Rhinolophus ferrumequinum: one gene and its partners. The protein of the gene in region 3 purifies or fractionates together with the protein of the main gene of each other region. This does not show direct contact. Links are inferred from orthologs where the notes say so. Each region holds a gene or a part of one and is shown on either strand. Other genes may lie near its edges.

Region 1 (9,976 bases), on a different chromosome or scaffold from region 3:
GAAGACTTTTTTCCCCTTGGCCTATTGATATACTGAGGCATCTTTATTGTAAATATTTTCCCATTGAACCCCATTATGGATTAACGGAGGTGAAAGATGATAATAGGAGTTAATTCTGGGTTGAAAGTTGAGTTGTTAGTTTACATTCTCTAAGGAGTCAAGATAAGACCCCACAGGTTAACTACTATTTTTGGGGTCAATTTGGTATAGTAGGTTTACATCTACTTTTCTTTCAAAGAGAATGCCTTTCCTGGCTATATCTGACCCTAAACTTCAATATCCTAGAGTTCTGTTCCTAGACTTGGATGTTCCTAAGACTCTCCAACCCACTAAGGAGCCTGTTCAAAAGGCTCTCCTGTTCTGCAGGCCACGTTTAGGGTTTTGGGGTCTCCATGTGTGCTATAGAAGACCCAGGGAAATAGGCTTGATCTGGGTCAGTTGAGTTCTAGCCTGGGTGAAACTACACTGTGAATCTGCCTTGGGTGTCAGAACCAGGGACAGCTCCTCCTATCCCTCCCCCTGCTGCCCCTGCCCTGGTTTGGGCTGGGGAGAGAGTGGGCAGATTTGGACATGATGTACTGCTCTATCCTCTTCTCACTGTTGCTTGCTTTCTTCTTTATGCTAGAATATCACTACTGATAGTTCCTGGCATATGTGCTGTTTCTTACCTTCATGTTCTTTGCTGATGCTGTTTAGTATGCCTTTCTACCATCCTTTGCCTGGCTAATTCCTGCTCATCCTACCAGGCCTGTTTAAGAAGGTGTCTCTTCTAGGAAACCTACCCTGATTATCCCAGACTGGGTTACACATACGAATACCTCCTTTTAGTTCCCATGGCACCCATGCTTGCCTCTGTCATTATACTCAAAATTGCCCTGAAATGATCATCTGTACTGTCCAATAGCCACTAGCCACGTGTATTAAGCACTTGAAATGTGGCCAGTCTGAATTGAGATGTGCTATGAGTGTAAAATACACACTAGATTTCAAAGACTGTATTAAAAAAAAATGTAAAATAATAAATTTTTATATTGATGACATGTTGAAATGGTAATAGTTTGGTGTTAAGTAAAACATTATTAAAATTAATTTCATCTGTTTCCTTTTTACTTTTTATAATGTGGCTGCTAGAAAATCTAAAATTACATGTGTATCTCACATGATATTTCTATTGGGTAACACTGATTTATGTTTATCTCTTCTTAGGGGTAGAGACTGGCTCTGCCATCTTTGTTTTTGTATTTCTGGAAAAAAATACGTAGGGGTGGGTGGGAATATCTGATACTAGTCCTCAGAACTTGGAGCTGGAGTAGCAAGCGTCCAACAGACATTATATTATTTGGTTTTTCCATCTAGGAACTTGGCCTCTCTCTCTACTTAATTCAGCCTTTTTTGTATGTCATCTTATTGATTCTTACAGATTTTTCTCACACATCACAAACATCTTATGAAGTTTTTTTCTAAGTATTTTGAATTGGATATTTTATCTTTACAGTTTATAATTAGTTAATACTGGTACCATCAGAATGCTACAGATTATTGCTTATTTTCTTGAATCTTTCCACTTACTTAGTATTACTAATTTTAATAAGACTGTATACTTTCTTATTATATAATTGTATCAACTACAATAGAGATATTTTCTTACATACTTAAATTTACTTCTCTCTCTCTCTCTCTCTCTCTCTCTCTCTCTCTCTCTCTGGCTCTCTCTTCTGGCTAGAATGTCCAAACTGGTATTAAAATAATATTAGTAGTGAAGAGTGACCTCATTTATTACTGTTTTTAAAGGGAGAGTACTGCTTCTTCATTAGCTAAGAATAGATATTCTATCATCATGGTAAGTATGAGTGATTTTAATTATTTTAAGACTGGATATTAAAATGTATCAAATATTTTTATCTATGATAATTGTTTATTTTTGATTAATCACATATATTGTATATTATATTAAGATTTTTTAATTTTTGAACCATCCCTGAATTACCCTTGTGTTGATATGCTATTCTTTTAATAATAATGTCATATAGTGTTGTGGTTAAGAATGTTGATACTGAAGCCATCGAGCCTGGATTCAAGTTCTGCCTCTGCTAGTTGCAAGCTGTGTTATCTTGATCTTGGGCAAGTTACTTATCCTCTCTGTGTCTCTATCGCTTTTTTTTTTTTAATGTCTGATCTTATTTATTTGTTAGTCTTAGGAAATCTCATTTTTGACTGAATTGCAGGTTCTGCTAACTCTTTTGGGCCCCAGGTGATGTGGCACAGTCATATCTATGTCTTCATTTATTATTATTATCATAATTTTAATTAATCTGTTATAGAATTCTATATGCTAACATTTGACTTGTGATGTTTGCATCCACATTCCTGAGAATTCTTTTTATAATATCATCATCTGATAAGAGATGAGGATCTTTATCTGCTATTCTGAACAAATTAGGAAAATTCCCCTTTTCCCCATGTTCTAAAACCATTCAAATAACGTGGAACAGGATTAACTCTTTCAAGAATGTTTGGAAATATTAAACAGTGAAACTCCTGAGCCTGGTGTTCTTTGGTTATTTTTGATAACTTTCTCAGCGTCTTCCTTAATTGTTGCTCAACTCTTGCTTTTGAGTCCTTGCTTTGCATTTTTTAAAGTAAAAATATATATGTAATTTAAATTAAATCTCTGTGATGAGTTTTAAAATTTAGGAGTGATAAATATGTTCAATGTCTCAATTGTGGTGATGTTTCATAAGTTGATACATATGGTAGAATTAATTACATTGTACACTATATAAGTGCAGTTTATTGTGTCAATTATACTTCAATTTAAAAAAGTGATTTAAAAATGTCTACCAATTTCACAAGTCTTTACAAAGTACTAGCTGACATTTATTAATTCCATTGTTCATGATTTCTGATTTTTAAAATTATCTTCTGAAATACATTAAAAGATGTATTTTGTTATAGATAGAAAGAGGTGGTGCATGCAAGAGCTGTTGGTGATTCATTTCCTGATAGTAGGGTATACATTTTGTTTTATGTCTATTATACCACCTTGATTTTATTGTTCCCAGGCTGTTTTTTAAATATTAAGGAAAGGAAAATATAGATTGAGATGCAGATTTTTCTTCAGGCCATACTTGTTGTTTTGGGACCAGGAAACTCTGGGTATAGAGAAGGTATAAAAGTGGAAGGACCTGGGCTCTGGCCCACTCAGCAGATGCCCTAGGGTGTGAGTTAGCTATGGACTGAGATGCAAGAATGGAACTGGAAACAGAGGCAACCAATAGCTTTCTGGAAGAAAAGCTATCAACAGTTACTGGAAGAATTTCTCAGCATAAAACAGCAAAATGCTATCTGGATTTCCCTTATATTCTACCACTTTGCCTAGCCAAGAGTAAAATCCCTGATGATGGAGACACTGCAGAGAGACCCGGAGAGCCCAGGGCCCGGCTTGACTCTGCTAGCCACTTTGGACCTGGGTCAGAATAGTGACCAACGGCTTTCCACAAAGTTGAGTGTGAGGCTTGGTATTTAGAACAGGGGATTCAAACTCTCATGGAATGCTGAGCTTCCAGCTTAGTTATACCAAGGTAAAGGTCTTGGCTATTTCTGGGGATGTTTTGATGCCATCTATTTGATTCAAATCAATCCAGATTTACTGATCATTCTAGGCACAGCTTGTGCCAGCCACTAAAGGGTGACAGAAATGCATCTGATGTGGTCCCTGTTGTTAAAGAACTTAGACTATAGTGCAAGAAGCAGCCAATAATTACTGTGTTTCCCCGAAAATACGACCTAGCCGGACAATCAGCTCTAATGCGTCTTTTGGAGCAAAAATTAATGTAAGACCCTGTCTTATTTTACTAGAATATAAGAACGGGTATAATATAATATAATATAATATAATATAATATAATATAATATAAATATACCAGGTATAATATAATATAATACCGGTCTTATATTAATTGTTGCTCCAAAAGATGCATTAGAGCTGATTGTCTGGCTAGGTCTTATTTTCAGGGAAACATGGTACAGTATGATAGCAGCTGACACTTTGCCTGCATTCTTCTATGCACTGTTCTGAGGTCTTTATATGTATTAACAACAGCCCAATGAGGTGGAAGGAAATGAGGGAGAAGGAAACTGAGACACAGATAAGTTATTTTCCTAGTGTTACACAGCTTGTGAATGGTAGCACCTGGATTGAAACCCAAACAGTTTGGCTCAAGAGTCTTTGTTTTTAACTTTATCCTGTACAGCAGTGGTTCTCAAAGTGTGGTACCCAGATTGGCAGCTTCAGCCTCACCTGGAAACTTATTAGAAATGCACGTTCTTGGGTCCCACCCAAGACCTACTGAATCACAAGCTCTGGAACTGGGGCTCTGCAATCAGTGTTGTAACAGGTTCTCCAGGTTATTCTAATGCCTGCTGTTTGAGAACCTCTGTTAGAGAGAAGCAAGGCATACTATGATGAGTGTCAGAAATTAATCTCTCTATGGGTAGGGACTGGGTGTGTGAGATCTGTCTCTTAAGTTCCTTGCCCTCAGCGCAGCATCTAGTGTAAAGTAGGCATAAAAAAATACATATGGATGAATACATATGAATAAATATAAGGGAAAGTGATGTTTGAACTGGGTTTCTTACCAAGTATCAACTGCAGCAGACCGAATGGGAGGACTCTTCCCAGAACCTGTGAGACTAGCGAGGAAGTGGTGTGATACTTTTGGCAAGGTGTAATAAGGGTCTGTACTATCACAAGGAACCATCAGAATGGCAGGGGATCATGTAAGAGTAGTTTAGGAGGTAAACATGTCAGGACTTGGTGAAAAGCTGAATAGGGGGAAGAAGCAAGGGAGAGAAACTTCATTTCTGGGATGAAGGTGCCATTTGCAGAGACAAGAAGCATAGGACAAGCATGTTTGTGGGGTAAAGATAAAGAGTTTGGTTTTGGACTCTAAATTTGAAGTACTGGTAGGATATCCAGGTGGAGCTGTCCAGCAGACACTTGGAAATATGAGTCTGAGACTTGGCTGGAAATAGAGATTTGGAAGGATAGTTGAGCCGTAAGAATGGGTGAGACCTTCAAGGGGAAAGTGGAGAGTGGAATGAGAAGAGAGCTGGGTTTGAAACCATGGGGAACACTGTTATTTAGGGGGGCAAAAGCAAAAGGGGGCTCTTGATTAAGACCGAAAAGGAGGTAAGCAATAATAGGAAATCTCAGAAAATACTGAAGCCAAGTAGAGGGCTCAAAAAAGAAGGAGAGACACAGTGTCAGATGTTGCAGAGAAATAAGAATTGAAAATTATCCTTTGAATTTTGACACAAAAAGTCTTTTAAGTGAAGTGGCGAGGACACGCAGATTGAGTTCAGGCGTGAGCTGTAGATGAGAAAGTGGAGACCGGTGCTTGCCAGGTCCCACAGACAGAACTCTGTAGCTGCAGTCAAGTTGAAACTGTGACATCGTCCAGGGTAGTAAGCAGGTCTCTTTCATTATCTGTGGTCTCTGTGCCCAGCACTCGGCCTGGAAATGAGGATGGCATCAGTGAATTCAGTGACTAGGGACGGAAAAAGGCTTCAGGGAGGCAGTAGCTTTGCAGCCAAGGGGTGAAGGATGAAAGAAATGGGGAGGCGAGGTGGTAGGCAGAGCCGCGGGGTGATGGGTTGCACGGAGAATGTGAAGCGGGCCTTGGAATGAAGTAGGGTTCCTGTAATGTGCGCGTGGCTCTGTGCAAAGCGGGGAGGCTCTGTGTAGGCTGGGAGGGAGCTGTTTGGGTGAAAGACAGGGCCGGAGGCTGCTGCGGGGGGTGTCCCCCCGCCCTGCGCCACTTACGCCACTGCGCGGTTCCGCTGCGCCTCTACCCAAGCCCTCCGGCCGGGCTGCATGGCGACGGGTGACCGCCAGGGGCCGCTGCCTCGGTCCCGGGTGCCCCCGCCCCTCTCCATTGGCCTTTGTTGCCGTCGGAGCGCCCCGCTTGACTCGTTCCCGTCCGCCCCCTGGGCCTGGCGGTCGCGCCTGCGCACTGGCAGCTGGCCGGGCGCTCGCAGGGGGAGCTGCTGCAGGCTCCGCGGCGGCGGCGGCAACGGAGGCTGTGGGGGTGGCGGCGCGAGCGGCCGGGCTTCGGGGGGGAGCCGAGCCCGGCCCGGGAGCCCGAGCAGCTAGAGTGCAGGGTACCTAGGCCCCTCACGCTGGACTCCACAGTCTCCCGGCCGCCTGACCTCCGCACGGGTATATGGGATGGAAGCGGGACCCTCGGGAGCAGGTAAGGGCCCCCGGGAAGGGGGGACGGTGCGTGCTCCAAAGGACCAAGGGACTCCCGCGTGCAGAGCAGTAAATCCGAGTCAGGGAAGGTTTCTTGAGTGAGGAGAGGGGCTCTTGTGGGATGGGGGGCCCAGTTTGAAGGGGGCTGTGTGCAGTTCCGGGGGAAACCTGGTGAAGGGAGCCCTGAGATCGGGGCCGTTTATCAAAGGAGGCACTATGCACTCCTGGAGGTGGGAAGTAATCTGGGAGAAGGGCCTGAACGCACGTAAGGACTCCCGGAGGTCCCTGGAGGCCTAGGGAGAGGCCCGGCAGGTGGCACGGGGCGGGCTCCAGGTGTCCAGGAGAGGAGGGGGTCGACACAGATGGGCCCAGAACTGCCGCATGCCGGGGGCGGGGGCTCAGCCGGTCTGGGCTGGGTTAGTGTCTCTTGGGAGAAGGCGCCAGAGCTGGACTGTGAGCTCCGCCCCAGCCGGGCCTGACGCGGGGGCGAGGGTCAGGGGGCGGTGGGTGGGGATCCAGCCCTGGGATTCCACCCGGTGAGTCCGGGGAGCTGGAGCAGAGGCGCTGGAGCATGCGCGGAGGTGGCAGCTGGAAGGGGCAGCCCTATGTGGTGGGGGCGTGGCTGCCCGAATCTCCCCAACTCCCCACCCCGCGCGATTTGGCTTGGAAATAAGAGCGCGCCGATGGGGGTGCATTCTCTCTAAGGTTATGCTGGCAGAGCGCAAATGGAAATGGTCCCCTTCCTCATCTTGGGGCTTCTTAACCCTTGGCAAAACCCTCAGTCACAATTTGCCAAGAATGAGTTGAGGGAAACTGCCAAAGTGCCTTATTCTGCCACTGGGACAAGGAAAGACAAGGCAGTGTTCTTGGGGCGGGGCCTCCCTAAAGATAGGCCTTAGGAAAGGTATTGATTACTGAGGGACCAAGGCCAGGCAGGCCCTGGTTTACCTGGAAGAGGTTGTCTGCCTGGTCTAATAGCGAGTAGAGATGGGATCATTTAATCAAAGGATAATGACCTTTCCATTGAAATATCTCCTGAGGTGACAGCCTAATCTCATTCTATACCTTAACACTTTTATTGCTCCTATCTCCCACTGGATATCTTTTTCCTCTCTCTAATCCCCAGAAACTGTCAGGGCCATGTCATTTGACCTAAGATTGCCAAGCTAGCCCTTTGTCATCTATCAGTTGTTTGGGGGAGGAGGGGTTTATAACCTTCACCCTGGTGAGTTCAGGTGATGATAGCCTTACTTTCTCCTTGTTCATGGGCAATCAGGAGAAAAGGAGATAAAAACAGGAGAAACTGAGGCTGGACTGCCCCACGAAGACTGGAGTCTCCAGAATGGGCTGTGGGATGGTGGCACCACCTGTGTCCTGTCCTTTGATGGGAGGAGCATTCTGGACCTGGGACTCCTTTAGGTCGTATCTCACCAGCTCCTACCATTTGATCTGGGGGTGGGAGTAGGGTTTCCTTTGGGGACTTGAATTTCATTTCTGGTGGAAGAATCTTTGTCTTTTATACCAGATCTAATCCCCTCAAGGCACTAGCTCCTACCAACTCATTCAAGTCATCCATTCAGAGATCTGTAAGTACTTTCCTCCAAGAGAAAACAACCTTGGAAAGGCTGTATAGGTCTTAAGGTGGAGTGCAGGGAGCAACAGACTTCAGAAAACTACTTCCTCCTTCCCTCAGGCCCCTTTCTCCATTCCAGGAACTCTCCTGGTTTTCTAGGCTGGAGACTTTGCAACAACCTGTGGACTAGAGTAGGAGTAGGTCACAGGTCCAGATAGATTGCTGGGAGTTGACACCCATGCCAGACTGCTAATGATTTTATTCTGATGAATTCCTAATGGGCTCTGGAGTGATGAAAAAACTGTTTCTTCCAATAAATAAGCTTCTAGGGAAGGGACTAGAGCTTGGTATCTGGAGTTGGCTGTAGCCTCGTGGGGCAGGCTTTGCTTCATCAAATGATGTAACTGAAATTCATTTTGGAAGCTATCAATAGAGGTACCCACATAAGTGCGTCCTTCTTAGGCCCAGACTAGTCTCTTGGAAGTTGGAGGACACAATACACAAAACTAAGGTATTGTTGCTGGCTTCACTGGGCCTAAGTCCAAGTGTGCCTTCTGTGCTCAGGTGTGTTCCAAACACATACTAGACTGGTAGCTCCCTGAAGGTACAGGTAGTGTCTAATTTATCTGTGAAACCAGCACATGTGTAGGTCCTGACACAAAGTACATGTTTATTAACTGAACTGAGTCCAGTCCAGAGTGACATAAATGGTTAAGCACGTATGTGAATATTTAATAATTTGCGTATACTTATGTGTGGACAAATTCTTTTTGGAGAGATTGGCCTCTTAGTCTTTGCTTACTGACAGCTAACCTAGCCTTGAGTTTGTCTTTTGAATAGGCTGTCTGGCTCCTTGGGAGTTTTGTGGGCCTCAGAAACTGCAGGGAAAGAATCCCTGAGCCAGGCATTTCAGCTCTGTTACTTTTCCTTCTCAGGGCTGGTTGGGATGGGGGAGGGGGAGTGTCCTTTTCACGGCCCCTCCCTCCTTGCTTTTGTCTGTAAGGAAGGGCCCCGCCCCTTTCCCCCAAGGCCCAAGCTTTGTCCTCTGTGCTGGGGCCCTCATCTGCATCACAAAGTGGCCGTCTGTCCCTGTCTGGGTCTGAAGGGAAGTGTCTCCCTTTCTCAGACTAAAAGCTGGGGGCTGGGGCACTTTCTACAGCTGTAAGGCTTGCGGAGGGATGGAATTGGAGAGAGCTTCCCCCTTCCTCCTGCCTTCCCTAGTTTTGGGATGAGGAAGCATGGGGGCTCTCTTGTTTTCCCAAAGCCTCCTTGGAGTGGAGGATTCCTAAGGCTGTCTGGTCTGTAGTCCTGTTTCTGGGAAGAGAAGGCTTTGAGGCTACAGTGTCTGTCCCTTCCCCCATCAGTACAACCCAGCCCCCAGCACTAGGGGATGTCTTTCTCCCAAGGCTCCAAGCGATTATTCAGCCTAGGAGGCTAAGGAGGTGAATGGAATGTAAGAACTTGGGGAGGGGAAGGGTGTCTTTCACCAGCTATATCACCAGGGTGCATTTTTGTTCTGTGCTGGGTTTGTAATAGTTTCTGAGCAGTTTGCAGGTGTTCGTTTGTTTTTATTTTCTTTGTGGTTTGTGTATGGATCTGTTTGTTCATTCCTTTAATATTTGTATATTGAACACACCTCCTGTGTGCCAGACACTGAAGATTCAATAATGACCAAGGCAGATAGTTCCTGTTTTTGAAGAACACACAGTCTAGGGTGGTGAGGGGTATATGTATAAAGGTAAACTGTCTAGGTCTAAGTGAGTGTTTGGATGTGTATGACAGGAACGTATCACACTGTGTGTGCGTCTATGGCTTGTATGTAATTTCTGCCCAGCTCTTTTTGGGGTAGGTGGCCAGGTGACAGTAGTTAAGCCTTCGCTTCCCTGTATAGCTGAGTCCTGAAGGCCTTTTCCCCCCAGGCTGGGCCTGTATTTCCCAGTGTGCAGAGTGGGGCTGGGCTTGACAGGTGCAGGAGACAGCAGCTTAGCTCTGGGAAGCGTGCCCCTCCCGTGAATGGTTCTGACCTCTTCCTGACCCCCCAGTTGAGGATATGCCCCATCCCCCCAGCCTGGCAGACTGAAAGCAGAGCTCTGGTGATGGGAGAGGTTCGGGGCTGATTCATGTATCTCTCCTCCCACCTGAGCTGGTCC
Region 2 (9,690 bases), on a different chromosome or scaffold from region 3:
AGAAACTGAGGCTCAACTAAGAACCTTTTCCAAGGAAAGGTTCTGCTCACCTACTGCATCTAATCCGTGACAAATTCTACCAGTTTTTCTCCCTAAACATTGCTCACGTCTGCCTTTCCTCTCCATCCTACCACTAACTACCCTAAAGTAGTATTAGTCATCGTTTTTAAAAACCAGGGCCTGAGATGATCTCATTTAACCCTTTACCAATCCTGTGACGTAGATATTATCCTTCTCTTTCTACACATCAGAAAGCCGAGACTTTAAAAAGTTTCCTAAAATGTTCCCAAGGTCTCACAAATACCAAGCTAGAATGAACCTAGACTGCCTGATTTCAAACTCCATCTCCTAACTTATCAATTGTCACCTGGCTCAGTTAAAATCTAAATCAGATCACATCATGCCCTTGCTGAAATCTCCCAGTGGCTTCTCATTAGTTAGAATGAATTTGAACTTCTTCCATGGCCTACAAGGCCTGACATAAACTATCCCCTGCCACATCTCTTACTTCATCTCTTGCCATGCTTCCGTTGCTCACTTATGCTCCTGTAAGTAGTGAGTGCCTCCTATAAGCCAGCCATTGTTCTAGGCGCTGGAGAGAGAGCATAACTAACACGAAAATCCCTTTTCCTCAAGGGGTTTTCTCGCTGTTTTCAAACATTCCCCATGTGTTGCTCCTCCTATCTGGAAAATTCTTCCCCCACATGGCTGGCTCTTTCTTTAGGGTCTCTGTTCAAATGTCCCATCTAAGAGAGCTCTTCCTTCTCTAACCCATCTATTCAAAATAGAGTCCTTGCTCTCAGTTATCCTCCATCCTCTTATTCATTTTTCTTTTCTTCACAGTATTTATCACAACTTGAAATCATAATTATTTCTTATTTTGTTTACACGTATACCTGTCCTTCATACCACATTATAAGCTCCATTACAACAGAGACTTTGTAGTGCCTGGCAGGGCAGGCCATTGGTGAATATTTACTGAATATATAAATATGACAACATTAGCTAGTCTTAGCTAGTGTCTGGGTTTCCAGTCTTGTTTCACTTCAACTCACCCTCTACCATAGCCAGCGTGGTCAGGTCACTTACCTTCCTAAACTCTTTCATGGGCTTTTTTTTTCTACCTAATGAAAAACAAACACATAAGACCCTCTATGAAAAGGGCCCTGGGCCCAGGAGCGCAGAGATGAAGGAGCATATAAACTAGATTTTGAATGAGGAGAGTGTTCAGACACAGAAGAGGAAAAAGGGCATTACTACCCAGAAGCTCAAAGGAACACAATGCTTTCCAAGAGAGTCATTTGTGGCGTGAAGAGCTAGATGTGTTGATATAAAAACTTCAGCTGGAAATAGACTGTGAAGAGCCTCACAAATGACATTAAGGAGTAAGGTTTTGATGCACAAAAGATGGTAAGGTCTTAGAAAGTTTATAGGCAGGGTAATGGTATGATCCAATTAGTGTTTCAGAAATAAAATGAAAAGGCAGCAGTAAGAAGAATGGATTGGACAGGAAGAGACAAACATCAGTCAAGAGGCTGCTTAATGTGAAATTGATCACAATGAGAGATAAAGGCCAGACCTAGTACAATTGAAATGGGGATGGAGAGGAGCAGAGAGATTCAAGAGAGCCACACTAAACTCTCACCCACTTAACACAGAATTCAACCTTATTATCAAGATAGGAAGTTTCCTAAAATATGGCCTATAAACTTAAACCAACCAAAGAAACAGCCCGCAGGCCGGCCCGGTGGCTCAGGCGGTTAGAGCTCCCCGCTCCTAACTCCGAAGGCTGCCGGTTCGATTCCCACATAGGCCCGTGGGTTCTCAACCACAAGGTTGCCAGTTGAATTCCTCGAGTCCCGCAAGGGATGGTGGGCTCTGCCCCCTACTACTAGGACTGAACACGGCACCTTGAGCTGAGCTGCCTCCCAGATGGCTCAGTTGATTGGAGCGCGTCCTCTCAACCACAAGGTTGCCAGTTCGATTCCTCGATTCCCTCAAGGGATGGTGGGCTGAGCCCCCTGCAACTAGCAACGGCAACTGGACCTGGAGCTGAGCTGCGCCCTCCACAACTAAGATCGAAAGGACAACAACTTGAAGCTGAACAGCACCCTCCACAACTAAGATTGAAAGGACGACAACTTGACTTGGAAAAAAGGCCTGGAAGTACACACTGTTCCCCAGTAAAGTCCTGTTCCCCTTCCCCAATAAAATCTTTAAAAAAAAAAAAACAGCCCACAAGTCACTGTGGACTTTATTCTTCTCCTAGATATATTACATAGCTTGTACTGAATGGGAGTGTCATTAGATGTGTCTCTGGCAGACTGAACAGTAGGTCCTCAAGGGCAGGGAGTATGTCATATTCATTTCTTCAACATCTAAGGCAACACATGGCACTCAATCTTTGCGAATGAATGAATGAACAAGTACAAGAGCGCTTTATGACTGAGGAAGGACTTGAAAATTAGATGGGCTTTAGGCCTAAAAAGGTCATTCCAGGCAAGTGCAATGGTATAGGCAAGTAGGTATGGAATGGCAAATCTGGTGAAGAGAGACACTGTCTTCATTAAGAATGAAGATGTTGGTTCCCCTGGTCCAGCCTTGGGCAGGTCAGGCTTATTCCCTGAAGCGTTTTCCCTACCCCCCCATTCCCTATGGTTTACTCCTCATTTCATTCAGCTGTTTGCTCAAATGTCACCTCACCAGAGGCTTTCCCTGACCGGCCTATCTAAACTTCTGTAACACACTCCATTAGCCTCAACTTTCTAAACCTTTTTTCTGTTGTTTTTTTTCTTTTCAGCTGATTACTGAAGAGATTCTCTACCAATTTTATTCATCTGTACTTGTATTAGGATGGACTCACTAAAATATCAACTCAAGTTTATCTGTCAGTTACTAAGATCCGGACCTAGGACAACCTACAGCACACTGAGTTTTTTTTTCCTTTTTTTTTTAGTAATTTCACTGTAAAGTCTAAGTGTTGACCACTTCCAACTTTGTGGATGCCACAGAGAACATTAATTTCTTTTAGGAAACATACACCACACCGTCCCAGAGGTAGGCTGGAAATAATTTTATATTCCTTAATGAAAAAGATTCTAGGAATAGGGCAGTAATCCATAAACAAAATCAATGAGATCAAATTAGCTAGTCATGAGGAACTAGGGAAAACAGGTTCTAAACGCAGGATGTTAGAGAGCACAGACCAGAGCCACACACTATGACTTCATGTCTATTTAAATAAGTGGTTTACACGAAGCTTATACATAGCATGTACCTGACCAGAGGCAGGTTGATGAGGCCAAAACAGCCCAGGTGAGTCTTAGCCTGAGCAGCTGTGTGCTTGCTCCAGGGTGAACTTTCCTTGCTTTGCCATCCCCATTAGGAAATCGAAAAAGTCTGTGAAGCGGCCAAATAAATGCAAGCTTTTTCAGCCAGCGATAGTCTGGGAAACTGGGCAAAAGCGGTCAGTAGCTGCACTTGGGTAAAAAAGCTATCAGACCTCAGCGACGGCCTTGGGACCAGAGAGGGGAGAGAAATGCACGCCCAAATTAAAGTCGCCCTCGAGTCCTCTACCCCTAGTCCTCACTCCGGGCCCCGCCGCCTCCGCGCGCAGGGCTGGCCCACCCTCGCGTGTCCCGCCGTCTCAGCGAGAGGGGCGCGGGCGCCTTACCTGAAGGCTTGTCTGCAGCCATCTTCCCGCCTCGGCTTGAGTTCTTCCCCGCAGGTGGCGTGGCCTCGACTCCAGCTGCCCGGCTGGCTGCTATCCTGGACCTCTGAGGACGACTCTGCCCACCCCTGCTCCAGGCCCCTGGGTTCCGGCCAGCGGAGTGGGCAGACCGAGGGCTGAGGAAGTGACGAAGGCTGGTTCACGTCGTCTAGCAACTGCAGCACCGTCTCCACCAAGGTTTCGCCACTGCATCCCGCCTTCTACAGTCTCCACCCCGAGTCACGGTACACACTACTTCCGGGGGCCGCGGCCGGCGTGGGAACTGTGGCTGGCTCCGCCCCACGCTGGCGTCCTCCCGACCCCACCCACTGCGCATGTGCGCGTGCGCGCGCGCTTGCGCCTCTGGGTATGTGCTGGGTAGGGTGGGAGGGGCCTGCGTGCCACTGCCTTTTGCTTATCCGGACTAAAATATTTAAGTGTCCAAGCAATTGTTCCTTATTTTACATAAAATCACAATAACCACACCTGACATTTATGTGCTAAGCATTGAACCTTGCACTTGGCTTTAGTCTCTCATTGATTTCTCACAACTCTGTGAGAAAGCACTGTTGCGGTTCCCGCTTAAAAACAAAACGTTTTATTTTAGAATAGTTTTAGATTTACAGAGTTGCAAAGATGATACATAATTCCTGTATACTCCCCATCTAGTCTGCCCTGTTGTGAACATCTTAGTTACTAAATTACTATGGTACATCCGTCACATCCAAAAAACCACCTTGATCCGTACTATTACTATTACGGGGGGACTTCTCCATTTTCTGAACAATGTTCCTTTTCTGTTCCAGGAATGGGATACCACATTATATTGAATGCGTCATGTCTTCTTAGGCTATTCTTTTTTTCTTTTAATTTGTCTAATTTTTTTTATTGAGGTACAATTGACATACAACATTATATCAGTTTCAGGTGTACAAGATAATGATTCAATACTTGTATTTATTGCAAAATGATCACCACAATGTCTATCACCATACATAGTTCCAAATATTTTTTTTCTTGTGATGAGAACTTTTATGATTTACTTTCTCAGCAACTTTCAAATATGCAGTAGAGTACTACTAGTCACCATGCTCTGTATTACATCCCCATGACTTATTTATTTTATAACTGGAAGTTTGTATCTTTTGACCACCTGCTCCCATTGTGCTCCTCACCCCCTCTCCTGCTTCTGGCAACCACCAATATGTTCCCTGTATCTATAAGCTCTTTTTTCCCCCTAAGATTCCACATATAAGAGATCATACAGTATTTGTCTTTCTCTGTCTGACATATGAGTATTTCACTTAGCATAATACTCTCAAGGCCTGTCCACATTGTCACAGAGCCGTCATCTTTGCCCCCTTCTCCCCCTTCCTGCTTTGAAAATGGTGAGGCGAGAGCATGATGCTCAGAGCTGTGGCAATTATCTTGGGCCCACTGGGGAAAACAGAAAGAATCCCAGGAATGTCGAACTGCATCCTGGCATTGCTGAGTCACTGATTCAGCAATGGAAGAGCTTACCTGCAGATTTCTCATCAGTGAGATAATTAATGCCTATATCATTTGAGACTTCAGTACCACTGGCACTACAGCATCTCCTCACATAGTGTTGTCTCAAGAAGGCCCATTCTGCAGGTTTTAATTCTGGCACTTTCTAGATCTTACCAGAAGATGTCACAAATGGTAGGTTTTCAGATCAAACTCGTGCATACACAGGGAATGACAAACATAACACACAACAGCCATCTGTCAGACAGTGATTGTGAGATGCTATCAGTTGTGAGAAGCCTGCCAATTTTAGAGATGACAGAAATATTGTGTCTTAGAATCAAAGAAGTATGGTGAATCTTTCCTAGACGCCTCTCACCAAAATGTCCCCTAAGATCTCATCCGTGAAATTGGTTGCCTGCCCACCACGAGGCAATTACTGGCAAAAAGAGATTCCGATGCATGTTTTGGCTTTATCATGATGCATCCACAAAACATTCCTGCGAGGAATAAATATAATCAGAATTTTATTAAACGGGAGGAACTGGGAAAGGCTGCTGACAGACAACCTCGTCACATTACCTCTATTTATCTCTTCTTTTATTGACAAACATTGACGTCAATTCCAATTTTCATTTTACAAACACAGCTGCTGAGCTCACTCTTAAACCTGTGAACAGTTAAAAGAGTTTCTCTGGAATAAAGGTGTACCCATATTTTTTTGGGAAAATATTATTGTGAAACCTTCCAAACATACTCAAAAGTGGAAAGTATAATAAATCCCATGTGTTCATTCCCTAGCATCATTTAACCATATACATGTTTTATCTACCCCGTCCTCCTTATTATGTTTTGTTGCTGGAGTGTTTTAAAGCAAATCCCAGATAGCATATCATTCACCTCTAAACACTTCGACATGCAACTCAAAAAGCAATATCCAAGTATTTTCTTACAATACCATTATCACATCTAACAAAATTCAAAATATTTCTTTAATATCATTCAATCACCAAACCATACTGAAATTACCTCTACAGTGTAAATTTTTTTTGGGGGGTAATTTCTGTTTAGAATCAGGATCAAGCAAGATCATTTTACTTGTGTTTCTCTTAATCTAGAACAGTTCGCTCCCCTTTTATTATTCCCTACATTGACTTACTGATGAAATTAGAATCCAGTATAAGATCCCTGGCATATCGCTTCCTTGTGACTGCATCCTTTATGCTCAATATTTCCTGTGGACTACAGGTTACTTCTAAAGGCTTGATTATGTTATGAGTCAAAAAATTTTTTCCTGAGAATTCTTCCTAGGTGGTGCTTTCTTCCTAGGTGTACGTTCTGCAACCCCATTAGAAGGCACAGAAGGTTGGTTGTCTCACTTTTTGTGACGTTAACATTGATCCTTGGATTCAGATAGTGACAGCCTGATTTTTATCCGTTTTCTATCAGCCTTTCTCCTAGTGGTTTTAGAAGCATTAATGGCCACTGTCTGAACCAGTTATTTCACTAATGGTTGAAATAATTTTCTCATTTGGATATTCATGCATTTGTTAACTAGAATCAGGGCTATGTGAGTGCCTTCTTAAATTTCATTCTCTAGGCACCCACTCAGTTTACCCTACTCCCAGCCCTACCTAGAATTCTTCTGTACTGAAAAACTTTTCCTTATCCACAGGGATATTTGGTTACACTGAAATTTAGTTTACAGAAAGGCAGGATGAATGTTTAGTCCTCTCCCTATAATTATCAGTTTTCAGAGGAATAAGTTTGATGTTCCAGCAATCTCCAGAACTATTTCCTTTTCAAAAAATTACTCTGAACTTATGGCTTTTTATATATTCAATATGTTTTCATCAACTGCAGTTCTTCATCTTTTTGAAATTAAAATTATTCTGTGTGTGAGCACACAACCCCAATAATTATATTAATTCTATGATGCTTTTCATCCCCTAATTTAGCTGTTGTTGTTGTATATGTGTTTTAGACATATTCTCATGTTCACCAGCTTCTTTGCTCATCCTTGCTCATCCTTTTAAAAAAAATAGCTACATTGACATATAATTCACACATACCATACAATTCACCTATTTGAAGAGTATAGTTTGGGGTGTTTTAGTAGATTCACAAAGTTGTGCAACCATCACCACTAATTCCAGAACATTTTCATCACACTCAAAAGAAACCCTGTATCCATTACTAGTCATTTACCATTCTTCCTAACCCCCAGCCCCTGGCAATCAATAATCTGCTTTCTGTCTCAAATTGACCATTTGAGAATTTAAATATTCTGTATATCTCATATAAAGAGAATTACCATACAATGTGTACCTTTTGTGACTGGCTTTTTCCACTTAGCATATTTTCAAGATTCATCTATGTTGTAGCATGTGTCAGCAGATGTCAGTTCAGATTGTTCATTATAAGTAGATAGTAACGTAAGTGATTTTTGTATACTGATCTTGTATCCTGCAACCTTGATGAACCTGTTTACTAGGTCTTACAGTTTTTCAGTTAATTCCTTAGGACTTTCTATATACTAGATCATATCATCTGCAAATAGAGAGAGTTTTACTTCTTCCTTTCCAATCTGGATGCCTTTTTTTTCCTTGCCTAATTTCCCTGCTAGGACTTTCAGTACATTTTTGAATAGAAATAGAAAGAGGGGACATCCTTCAGTGGGGCAATAGATTGGGGAAGGGGTGAAATCTCTATTACATTGTTTTGTGCACCTGAAACTAATAAAAATCTTAGGGGGAAAGCGTCCAGTCTTTTACATTTAAATATTTTGTTAGTTTTGGGATTTTTTGTAGGTGCTTTATTAGGTTAAGGAATTCCCTTCTATTCCTAGTTTGTTGAGTGTATTTTTCATGACAAGGTGTTGGATTTTGCCAAATGCTTTTCTGTGTCTGTTGAAATGATTATGTGGTTCTTGTTTCTCATTTTATTGATATGATATATTATACTATTACAAGAATTGCCTTTCAGATGTTAAACCTACCTTGTATTCCTAGGGTAAATCTCATTTGGCCATGGTGCATAATTTTTATATGTTGCTGAATTCAGTTTGCTAGTATTGGAGTGACCCTGTTTTCCTCTTCACACTTTAATTCCCATTCTTATGTTTTAAACTCACCAATAAAGAATGAACCCACAAAACTCTAGGCACCTCATCCCCAACCCCCATAAAGGCAGAACCCCTAGTCCATGCTCTCTGTCTCTACTGTGACCTTGTATGTGGCCCCTAGGTGTGCTGAGTACTCTCCAGGACTAATGAGTCATAAACCTTTTTATTTCAAAATTTCCTGATGGTTGCTGCTGAGAGGCCTGTTGACATCATAACCACCACTGGGCTGGGCCAGCCTCAAAACTGAGGAAAATGGTGAGTGCTCCCAGACATTTCTAGCCAATAGCATCACTGTCTACAGGCTGAGACACAAAACAAATGGCTGCTTTGAATGCCTTGTTTGTTAAACCTGACATCTGGCTGCTCACATGTAGCAACTGCTGCCTATTTTCCCCCCCAGGGTATAAGTCATACTTTCTCATCTCTCTTTTCACCCAATCCTCCATTCTACTGTCTGGAATGTAAATGTGATGGCTGGAACTCCAACGCCCTCAAGACCATGAAGACAAGAGTAAGAGGGATGGAGGACTGGAAAGATTAAAGAGCCTGGGTTCCTGATGACACCTTAGATGCTCCATACCGCTTCCAGACTGCACTTGTGTGTTTGTGTGACAGTAAAACCTTGTCACATGCAAGGCTTGTTCATTGTTAATGTGGATTTTCTATCACATGCAGCTGAAATGAATCCTAACTGGTTCGCTGTCTAAATCAGACTAAGCAAATAGATATGATTTGATTTTTTGCATATGTCATTTAAATTTATTTTTGAAGTCCCATGTAAATCCTGTAATAGATCAGAATGAAAGCATTAAGTTTATATCAGAACCTTCGGTATTGTAATAGCAGGGCTAATATGTAGTTGATGTTCACATGTACGAACATCAACATACTGGTTGTTTACAGCTGACTCTAGTACTAAATGAGAGAGCCCATGCCATATTAGTTGTTACATATTTTGAAAATCACCCCAAATAAGAATTGCATTCACTAATTTACACATTTAACAAATAGTTGTGAAACGTATTGTGCTGGGTGTTGATTCAATAGAGAATTAAAAGGAACATAGACCCTGTCTACTTATAGACCAATGAGGCTACAGACATTGTCAAAAGAGTCATACGTATGTGTATGTATATATTTGAATATATATTATGACAAATGAGAAGTAGAAGGTTCAGAAAAAAGCTGTCGTGAGAGTACATGTTTGGAGGATATGCACTTTCCTTAGGGAAAGCCTGAGGAAGCTGAGATCTGCAGGATGGGTGGAAGTTAAAAAGGTAAAGGGAAGAGCAGGTGTAAAGGACCTGTGGTGAGAGGGATCATGGTGAGTGTGAGGGGTGAACACACATTCAGTGTGGCTTGAGCAGAG
Region 3 (9,949 bases):
CCGTCACAACTGTTTGGCACCAGAACTGTCTTTCTGACCGAGCAGCGGTTCCAAGAGGCCAGAGGTCCTATCTCTTAGCCTGTTACATCCTGAGCGTCTGTGTGCTACGCCCAGTCCCCAACAGGGGTTCCACAAGGCATTTGGAATGAGTGCACACGAAATAAAAGGACAAAGGTTCTAGAAGCATTACTGTAGATGGGCATGAGGCCAGGAGACACCTTACGAACTACGGGGCTTGCTGGACGATCCTAAACCATGGCACTGGCTGGCTCGGAGGCGGGAGCCAGGCCAGAGCGGAGGACGGCAGTGAGCGGCCTCAGCTGGGCTTCCGATGGCGTGCTGGGGGCGCTGGGGGTGCAGCACGGGTTCTCTGCTTGGATCTGTTCCAAAGATGTCTGATGGTCAGAACAATTTTTTTTTTAACCCAAATCTGCAAATTATAGTCAACAGGCACTCAGCATCCATTTTTCTGCCTTCCGTGAAACTTCCTGTATCACAGAAGCCCGAAGTGAGAAAACAGAAGTACACTTTCCAGACTCCCTTGTGGGTTCCGGACCCCCAGTTAGTCCCATAGATCAGATGAGTGAGTGAGTGACCACGGAGAAAGGACTCCTAGCCTGGTCTTTAGGGCATGTTTATAACATTTAGGGATGGCGTAAAACTGGCAGGAATAACTAACATGTCGATCACAGAATCCGGGTTCAAAAAGATCTCAACGGGCTGGGGGACTAGAATCCAAAAGTTTCCCAGAAACAAAGTTCTACACTTGGGACCAAGCAACCAACTACCCAGGTGCGTCCTGAGCAAGAAGGGGCTTCAGAGCGGCCTTAACAAAAAGAGCGACTTCCGGTTTTCAGCTCAATTTAAGAAAAGGGGTGTGATGTGGCTCAAAAAGGCTAAATGAAACTTGGAACGCGTTCATTACTAGGAGTATGATTTCAGGAGTGAGGGAGGTTTTAGTCGCGAGTAACTCTGCACTGATGAAACCAAACTTATCGTCCTGACGTCAGTCCTGGGCACAAGAACCCTCACGAGCCTTCGCTTTTCCAGAGGACCAGAAAAAGGATTTAAAGCCGTGACTACGAGCACCAGCTGCAGGAGCTAGGAACAGTTCCTGGAGAAGGGCACGGGGGACAGGAAAACTAGATGCAGCTGTCTGAAGTTCTGCAGCATGAGAAGAGAAATTCAGCCTTGCTTTGCACTGTCCCCAAACTATCCGAGCAATTCTAGCACCTGGAGAGAGGCTGACTGAGGCTCTGTCTAAGGACATGGTAGCCACAGTGACTGGGAAAGAAGTGCGGTGGGGGCCTCCCGGCCCTGTACGTGGGCCTTCCGGTTGCTTGGCGAGTGTATGGGAGAGGGAAGGCCCTGAATATAACGCCCTGAGTTGGACTGTACTCTCCTTCTGGTCCCTCCTACACCTGGGAGCTCGGCGATTTGGTGAGCCCAGGGTTCACTCACTGATGCAGGTCCCATGGCTGGAGCGGAGTGATCCTTTCTACACGGACCAACATTCTAGCGAGGAGTGTGGGGCCTGCTAATTCTGCAGTTACAAAGCCCAGCTGAATTTTATCTGTGCGTACAGGTCCCTGCTGCATGGTTATTTCCTCTGTCATAATTCCCACTCCCCATGGGCAGGCTCTTCTCTGGATCATCTTAGCATCTTCTTTCCCACCTTTTCTCCATGCGTCTAGAAGAGCGCCTTGCACAAAGCAGGAACTCAAAACACAAGTTTTAGTCTAATTTTAAGATTTTCCTTTCAACTGAAATAAAAACATGACTTGTATAACGCCATTCACGTTTTACAAGAATGGTTTTATTTCAGTGTTAACCACACATCAGAAACACCCGTGGAGCTTTAAGACCCACCAGCGGACGGGCTTCCCTCCAGACGGGTGATACGAGAAACCTCCTCTGAGGTCAGTACGTACTCCCTGCCCCATGCTCCCAGGTAATTCCCACGAGAGCCGGGGCTGAGCACCACTGGTTTATCTCATAAAGAAATGGAGACTCTAAGTGAACACAGACTAACACAACGGTCCCCCGTCTTTCCTGAAGAGGATGCATTTATTGCTTCTTCCTTCTCCTTTCCATTGAAAAGTGCTTAAGATATTTTTTTCTTGGATAGAGCGCTTTCAGGGAATCCTGCTTTAATTCTACACGGTGAAGGGCACTTAATGCCATCTGCTGTGAAAACACGAGTCTGATGACTATAAATGCTTTTTAACTTTTAAATAATAGAAAGCACATCCCGTACCTGGACCGAGCAGCGGCGACCGGTTCAGCTGGGCGCTGGCCTGGAGCGGTGGCGGCGGCGTCTCGACCACGCTCGTGTTGTTACTCGTGGTGGTGGCGGCAGCGGTGGTGACCGCCGTGCTGCCCTGGATGCCCGGGTTGTTCCTGTCCCACATGTTTACAGTTTTGTTGTTGTAGTTGCTTGGGTCACCCCAAGCTGAGGTACCATCATCAATTTCCATTTTGCGGCGAATGGATGGCGGAGAAGGTTCTTCCCAGCCCGTGGCCTCGCTGCTGTCCTTCTGTTTGATGGGGACCGGCCCCCCGATCCACCCTGCTCCTGTCTGTTTAACGGAAGCGGCTCCTCCCCAGTTACTCACGCTGTTGTCCTGGGGTTTGCTCGCCCAGTTCTGTTGGGGGCCAGGTTTTAAAGACTCTCCCCAGTTTGTCCCTGGATTCACCTTTGCATTTGTGCCGCTGCCCCAGCCACTGGTCCCAGACCTTGTAGCGTCATTCCAACCAGACCCTGATCGATTGCTGTCAGCATCCCATCCAGAGGCATTTTTTTTCCCATCCCCCAAGTGTCCAAGGACAGAAGACGAGTCTGCCCAATCCCCCCCTCCAGCACTCCAGGCGGGATTTGATTTCTGTCCATCTCCCCAGTTTTGAGATTTGGGCTTCTGAGGCTCACCCCAGGTGGGCGACTTGTCCTCCTGACTTACGGTCCCACTCCAAGCGTGGCCACTCTTGGCAGCAGCAGCATTAGTGACAGCAGTAGAGCTTATCGAGTCCCCCCAAACCCCTGGGCCGTTTGGCGCTTTGTTGCTGCTGTCTCCCCAACCTGTGTTTGCTGGCGCAGCAGCAGGCGGGGAGCTGACCCACCCAGATACTGAAGAGGTATTTGTACTGTTCATGATGGACCCATCGTTCTTCCCCCCTGAGTTTGAAGGCTGAGTAGCTGCACAACCCCAGGCCTCTGTCCCATTGTCATTTTTCCTCTCCGACCTCGGGGATTCTTCAAATTCCCAGGCAGTGTTTTGCTTTACTGGAGTCTGTCCCCATCCAGTATTAGACAGAACTCTTGGGTCGAGATCGTTCCTTGGCAGCTGGATGTGCCCTTGGTCTGTAATCCCCTTGTCCCGCCTTCGGCCTTCCGCCCCCTCCCTCCCCGTGCTTCCTTCATTGTAACTGCCAGAACCGTCGCTGCTGCCTTCACTGGCGGTGGTTGCAGAAGACGCAGCTTTGGCCCAAGAGTTCATGTGTTCACTGCCAGGCTGCATGGCAGGGTTCTGGCTGCTGACACTAGGACTGTCCCACCCTGTTGATCCTTTCCCACTGATGTCACTACTGGAATGCTGGTTCGGGGGCTTGCCCCACTCCCCATTCACACCGTTCGAGGTGCTTCGGCTGGGGTGGCCCCACGCTCCCGAATGGATATTACCCATGCCATTGCTGCCACTGCCCCTTCCCCAAGCGAGGATTCCAGGACCAGCAGGAGGGCCCGAGTCCCAGGCGTTCGTCCCATTTCCTTCCTTTTGCACAGCACTGCTGGATCCGTTTTGTTTAGCACTTAATGCTGAGCTCACAGTGTCTCCATTCCCCTGATTGAACCCCGAATTGCTATTTCCTGCGGCAGGGTTACCTGGGGACAGTCCCCACACAGAACTGCCGAGTCCCTCACCGCCACCCCCACTGACTTGAGAAACTGATGATCCGTTAGCACCAGCGAGGCCTTGCAGAGGGGGCGGGATGATGGCCCCCATGCCGACGGCCATGCCCCAGTTTGGCAGTCCGTTCGCCTGCATTGCATTGATAGGGTTTGGGGAAGAGTCCATGGGGTTAGTGTTATTTGGTCCGTCAGTGTTAAGGTTCTGAGGTTGTACGCTGAAAGACACATTCTGAGAAGTGGACGTTTGTGGTTCTGTGCTCTCTGGCGGCAGCAAGTTTCCCCAAGCACCTAAAGTGCCTGCTGGGGTCCCATTCGGGGTGCCCATGTTTTGACCTATGGCACTGACTGGACTGCAAATACTGGAAGGGTTGCCTGTCGCCACAGTTCCTTCATGTCCCAGTACAGGCCAGGCAGCGGGGTTGGCATTGGGATTAAGGTTAAGATTAATGCCAGCACTGGAGTTGGAAGCGCCCCAGCAGTTCTGACTTCTCCCATCTCCAATCATGTTGTCCATTTTCCCATCCCCACTGCTGAGAGAGCAGTGAGCCAGGCCGGAGCTGGCGCCTGTGGCTACGCCCCACACTCTGGCTGCGTTTCCGTTGCCGTTGGCTCCCCCTGCTCCAAGGGCACTGTGATTAGAAGGGCTTTGGACGAGTGCGCCGTTGGTGCCATTATTGCCATTTGTCTTCTTGGTATGTCCAGTGAAGCTGCCCTGGGCACTCCCTGTAGCCATGCTACTGTTCTCTGAGCCACAGTTGGAGGCAGAGTCAGTGTCTGTAGTACATTCTGAGGCAGATTCGGGCTCTGCTCCTGTGATGGAAGGCCACGCCTCCTTATCAGTCCTATCTATTATCACTTTATCCCAGCTGCAGTTGGCTTCACTTCTGTAAGTGGGCGGCTGTCCCCAGTGGGAACTTTCATAATGATCTGCCAATCCACTGTGACTGAGATCTGAAAAAGACGAAACATTCAAAATTAGATTTTCCTCCCATCTGTCAATGAATCAACTGTTAGTTAGTCTTTGGGGGAAGCTCATTATTTCAAGGTTTCAATTCTGAATGACAAATGCTAAAACACGACTTGAAGAAAAGTTATTTGTCCCCTTCACAGCTCCCATTTAAAACAGAGATAACGCTTCTCAAATCACAGTAATTGTTACCACCACACCAAACTGTCACTCCTCCGGAGAAGATTCACAATGCTCATTAGCACATGAGAGGCTATGAAAGCATCTGTAGCACAGACAGCTGCGTAACCGTAACCGCGATGTATAGCACTTCGGAAATTTATGCAACTGTACAACACCTATAAATACCCCAAATCTTTGGGAAACACTGGCAACAACAAGAAGTTCACATGGATGCCTCAATACAATGTGTAGTTCTCTTCAAGAGTTACAGTATTGTGTAGAGGCTACACGGCTCATTTAGTAGACAGGGATTGTAAATGCCTTGCAGAATCATATAACAGGACCAATGTTTTGGGGGTGGGGGACAGATGGGCAGGGAGAGAGGGAAAGAAGGAATGGGGGGAGAGAGGCAGGGGAGGGAGAGAGAGAAGGTATTAGAAAATGCTATCGTATGTTATCAAGGGTAGTAAAGGTTAGAAAGCTTTAATGACATTTATACTACTTCACCTGTTGTTACCAGCAATTATGCTTTATCACTGTTTCCTGTGCATCAACAAAGAATATTCTCAGCCCCACATCTGGTACCTTCTTTGATCTCTAAGGATTCCTTCTACAATTGCTTTCTATTTCCTTAAATTACAGTCTCTTCTTTGGAGATTCTCAGAATAATTTTATGTATCTTCCTAAAGTATTTATATCATTTCACTCTTATCCTTTTAAAGAATTCAGTATTTGGTACCTGCATTTTATCTCCTACGATTTCCGAATTATTTGGGTATTTCTAACACTGCAATCAAACTTATATTCCAATGAATTTTCCAGCAGACTTTATTTGAAGTATGTGTCCTTAAAAATGAAAAATATAAAAAAAAATAAAGTTACCTGTACATACAACAAACTCACGCAATTTGGAAATCCTTGACAGTTTCTTTACATAGTACGATATACAGATAATTGCAACAAAAGTTTTCTTCTCTTTTAGAACCTTTTCATCATTATGTTCTCTTCAAATTTATTTTAACAAGAAAAAGCTTACTCATGGAGAGTAAAACTGAGTTTCCCAAAAGAAATCTCTTTTAAAGTTTGATGGAGTTAAAAAAAAAAAAGAAGTATGTAAAGAATTACCACTATCACTGGAAAGAACATATTAAAGCTAACTTCAACCTTAAAAACAAACACAAATAAACAATTTTTGTTGCCTGATTTAAAAGGAATGTAATGAGTTTAGAATTATGCCCTAGGTAATTCTAAAGTAGGTAGGTATTCCAGGTGAACTCTGCAAAGGGGAACAGAGATAGGCAACAGAAAACTTTAAGTATCAAAAGTACTATAAAACAACTACGTTTTTTATCACCAAATATTAGGGGTTGGCTCTGCAACTCTGGTTTATGACAATTTTCCCTGTTGGTTTTGTACATACTATAAAAACCAGCTTATATAATAACTACATTAAAGAAATAAATGAGACGACAACCAAGATGGCGCAGTAGGTAAACGCTGAGCTCACCTTCTCACAACCACATCAAAATTACAACTAATCTACAAAGCGACCATTATTGAGAATCGCCTAAAATCAAACAACAGAAGCCTTTCAATTAGAGACGTGCAGAAGAAGCCACCTCCACACTGGTAGGAAGGGCAGAGACGTGGAACGGGCTGGTCCCTCACCCACGTGTGACCATTAAAGATCGGGAGGGATATTTCGGCTGTGGGCATCCCCCCAGCCCAGGGTCCCAGTGCCGGGGAGAGAAGTCCCCATCATTTCTGGCTGTGAAAACCAGCGGAGATTGTGACTGAGTGAGACAGTGTGACTGCACTCCCAGGCACTCCTGTTAAAGGGACCACACGGACTTACCCACCAGTGGAATCACTTGCTCTGAGCTCCAGCGCTGGGGCAGAGGCAGCAGGAACAAATGTTGGGGAACTGAGTTGTCTGGCTTGGGACGGGGGCTGGAGAGGCGGCTTTCTCCGGGATAGGGGAGCTGGTGGAGGCCAGTGTTTCTTTGTCGAGCCCTCCTACTTCCCCACCTGAGTCTCCCTGGCAATTTGAGACCCCAACCCGTCCTGCCCCGCCCCACCCCACCCAACATTCTGGCACACCCAGGCTGCTTTCAGTGGCTTTTTCATGCAGACCTCCTGAGCCTTGGCTCAACCTGCAGACTTTCGTGGAACCTAAACAAGTAGCATCTGGCTTGAGCGTGTCCTGTACCTCTGGCTGAGCAGCCCTAAGCCGGCACTAGGGGCAGCCGGCCTTGGTTTGTGGCTTGGCCTCTCAAGGCGCTTCCAAGTAGAGCACGGGCGGCAGACGATAAGGATTTCTTTCTGGCTCCCGCTGGGTGGCCCCAGGTGGGGCATGGGCTGTGGCTGAACTTGACCTACAGCCGATCCCCTCCGAGGTGGTCCTTGGGCTGGCGCCCCCAGTGGCCAGCTTCAAAACGAGCTGGAGCATCACCCAGCCGCCTCCAAGTACGACACACCCAAGGAGCAAATTGGACAGGCACCAGAGCCCTGCTAAGGCAGCTCCTGCTCTGTAGGGTCAGCCCCTGCATAACCCTTCCACTGGAGTCAAGGCCAGTCCTCACAACCAGTGAGCCCGAGGGTCAGTCCCTCCCACTGATGTGCAATTATCAACCAAGGCTCAACTACAAAAGGAGGGCGCACACAACCCACACAAGGGATTCACCTGGAGCACGTGGCTCAGGTGATCAGAAAGACTGCACCACTGAACCCCATGGCACACCTACTACAGAAGGCTACTCTACTAAGACCAGAAGATATAACAGCCCTACTTAATACATAGAAACAAACACGGGGGCAGCCAAAATGGGAAGACAAAGAAACACGTCCCAAATAAAAGAACAGAACAAAGCTCCAGAAAAAGAGCTAAGCGAAACAGAGATAAGCAATCTATCAGATGCTGAGTTCCAAACACTGGTTATAAGAATGCTCAATGATCTCAATGAGAACTTCAACAGAGAGATAGGAGGCATAAAAATGGAGATGGAAACCATAAAAAAGAACCAGTCAGAAATAAAGGCTACAATAACGGAAATGAAGAATATGTCACAGGGAATCAACAGTAGATTAGATGAAGTAGAGAATCCAACCAGCGACGTAGAAGGTGGCAGAAAACACCCAACTAGAACAGAAAAAAAAAAAAGGAATCCAAAAAATTCAGGAGAGTTTAAGGGGTCTCTAGGACAATATCAAGCATACCAACATTCGCATGATAGGGGTACCAGAAGGAGAAGAGAGAGATCAAGGAATTGTAAACCTATTTTAAGAAATAATGACAGAAAACTTCCCTAACCTGGTGAAGGAAATGGACATACAAGCCCAGGAAGCACAGAGAATCCCAAACAAGATGAACCCAAAGAGGCCCACACCAAGACACATCATAATTAAAATGCCAAAGGTTAAATACAAAGAGAGAATCTTAAAAGCAGCAAGAGAAAAGCATTTAGTTACCTACAAGGGATCCTCTATAAGACTGGCAGCTGATTTTTCAACAGAAATTTTGCAGGCAAGAAGGGAGTGGCGGGAAATATTCAAAGTGATGAAAAGCAAGGACCTACAACCAAGATTGCTCTACCCAGCAAGACTGTCATTTAGAATTGAAGCACAGATAAGGAGCTTCCCAAACAAGAAAAAGCTGAAGGAGTTCATCACCACCAAACCAGTATTACAAGGAATCTTAGAGGGACTTCTTTAAGATGGGAGGGGGTTAAGGATGGGTGAAAGGGGAAGGGATTAAGAAGAACAAATTGGGTGTTATACAGTCGTCATGGCGATGTAGGGTATAGCATAAGGAATATAGTCAACAATATTGTAATAACTAGGTACGGTGCCACATAGGTACTAGATCTATCAGGGTGATAGACGGGAGGGGGGTTGGGGGCAGGGTGGGAAAGGTGAAGGTGTTAAGAAATACAAATTCGTAGTTAATACAATATGGGGAGTATAATCAACAATGTTGTAAAGATCATGTAAGGTGCCAGATGGGCGCTGGACTTATCAGGGGGATCACGTCATAGACTGTAGATGCCTGACCAATGCGCTATACACCTGAAGAGCTGAAGTAGAATAATATGGAACGTCAACTATAACTAAATATATAGGTATATATAGTCATGGGATGTGGAGTACAACATAGGGAGATACTTGATGGTATTGTAACAGCTATATAAGATGTCAGGGGGGTAGCAGCTTGGGGTGGGTTATCACTTTATGAGGGGTTTAAATGTCTAACTATTACGTTGCTTTGAATACTTGAAACTAAAAAACAAACCAACAAAAAACAGAAAAAGAAAAAAGAAATGAGCCACTCATCATTTAACACAGAAAATAGGACCAACTTAAAAAACAGACTATTCCGTCCCCAGCAATCTACCAGTTCACTCTCCCACCTGTCTTGCTCTCTCCAGGGACAGGTTTACCATGAGGCAGGCCACTCACCTCTTGATTCACTGCACCCCACTCCCAGGAGGCAGGAGTTAACCATCCAGCTTACCCGCGCATTCCTTCCTTCCCGGGCTGGAGCACCTCTTAACACGTAACAGTATCTTTTCCATTCCACAAAGGTCAGACTGTGGAAGTCTCTGCTCTTGGTTAACGGTCTCCTTCACAGATTCGTGTGAAATGTTTTTTGACTATTGCTCAGCCCCCATTCGATGGACTCATATTCAGTTATATCTCCCGTTTGAAAAATGTTCTCTACCCTTGATGGGTAAGGACAGCATTGCGAACTAGTGGAGAAAGGAAGAACTAGCTAATAACCGCTGCGGGACAACTGGCTAGCCACATGCAGAAATAAAAGTAGATCCTACCTCATATCATACATAAAAATAAATTCTGTGTGGATTAAAGACCTAATTATGAAAAGCAAAAAGCTTCTTTAAGCTTAGTAAGGAAACATG

Evidence for each region. Proteins that work in one complex are often made in the same cells at the same time.
Region 1: the proteins of TNRC6C (region 3) and AGO1 purify together in Homo sapiens (affinity purification with mass spectrometry; 5 studies listed by BioGRID and IntAct, with this or other methods). This does not show direct contact. The link is inferred for Rhinolophus ferrumequinum from reciprocal best matches to the Homo sapiens genes TNRC6C and AGO1.
Region 2: the proteins of TNRC6C (region 3) and CNOT10 purify together in Homo sapiens (co-immunoprecipitation; 3 studies listed by BioGRID and IntAct, with this or other methods). This does not show direct contact. The link is inferred for Rhinolophus ferrumequinum from reciprocal best matches to the Homo sapiens genes TNRC6C and CNOT10.

What each region holds. Positions count from the first base shown.
Region 1 is NC_046292.1:24,901,656-24,911,631, forward strand, and holds the start of AGO1 (protein argonaute-1), read left to right. Parts: upstream 1-6,013; 5' UTR 6,014-6,229; coding exon 6,230-6,254; intron 6,255-9,976.
Region 2 is NC_046300.1:18,101,114-18,110,803, forward strand, and holds the start of CNOT10 (CCR4-NOT transcription complex subunit 10), read right to left. Parts: upstream 3,964-9,690; 5' UTR 3,696-3,963; coding exon 3,674-3,695; intron 1-3,673. UniProt on the Homo sapiens protein: Component of the CCR4-NOT complex which is one of the major cellular mRNA deadenylases and is linked to various cellular processes including bulk mRNA degradation, miRNA-mediated repression, translational repression during translational initiation and general transcription regulation.
Region 3 is NC_046304.1:52,114,665-52,124,613, reverse strand, and holds the start of TNRC6C (trinucleotide repeat-containing gene 6C protein), read right to left. Parts: upstream 4,776-9,949; 5' UTR 4,638-4,775; coding exon 2,258-4,637; intron 1-2,257. UniProt on the Homo sapiens protein: Plays a role in RNA-mediated gene silencing by micro-RNAs (miRNAs). Required for miRNA-dependent translational repression of complementary mRNAs by argonaute family proteins.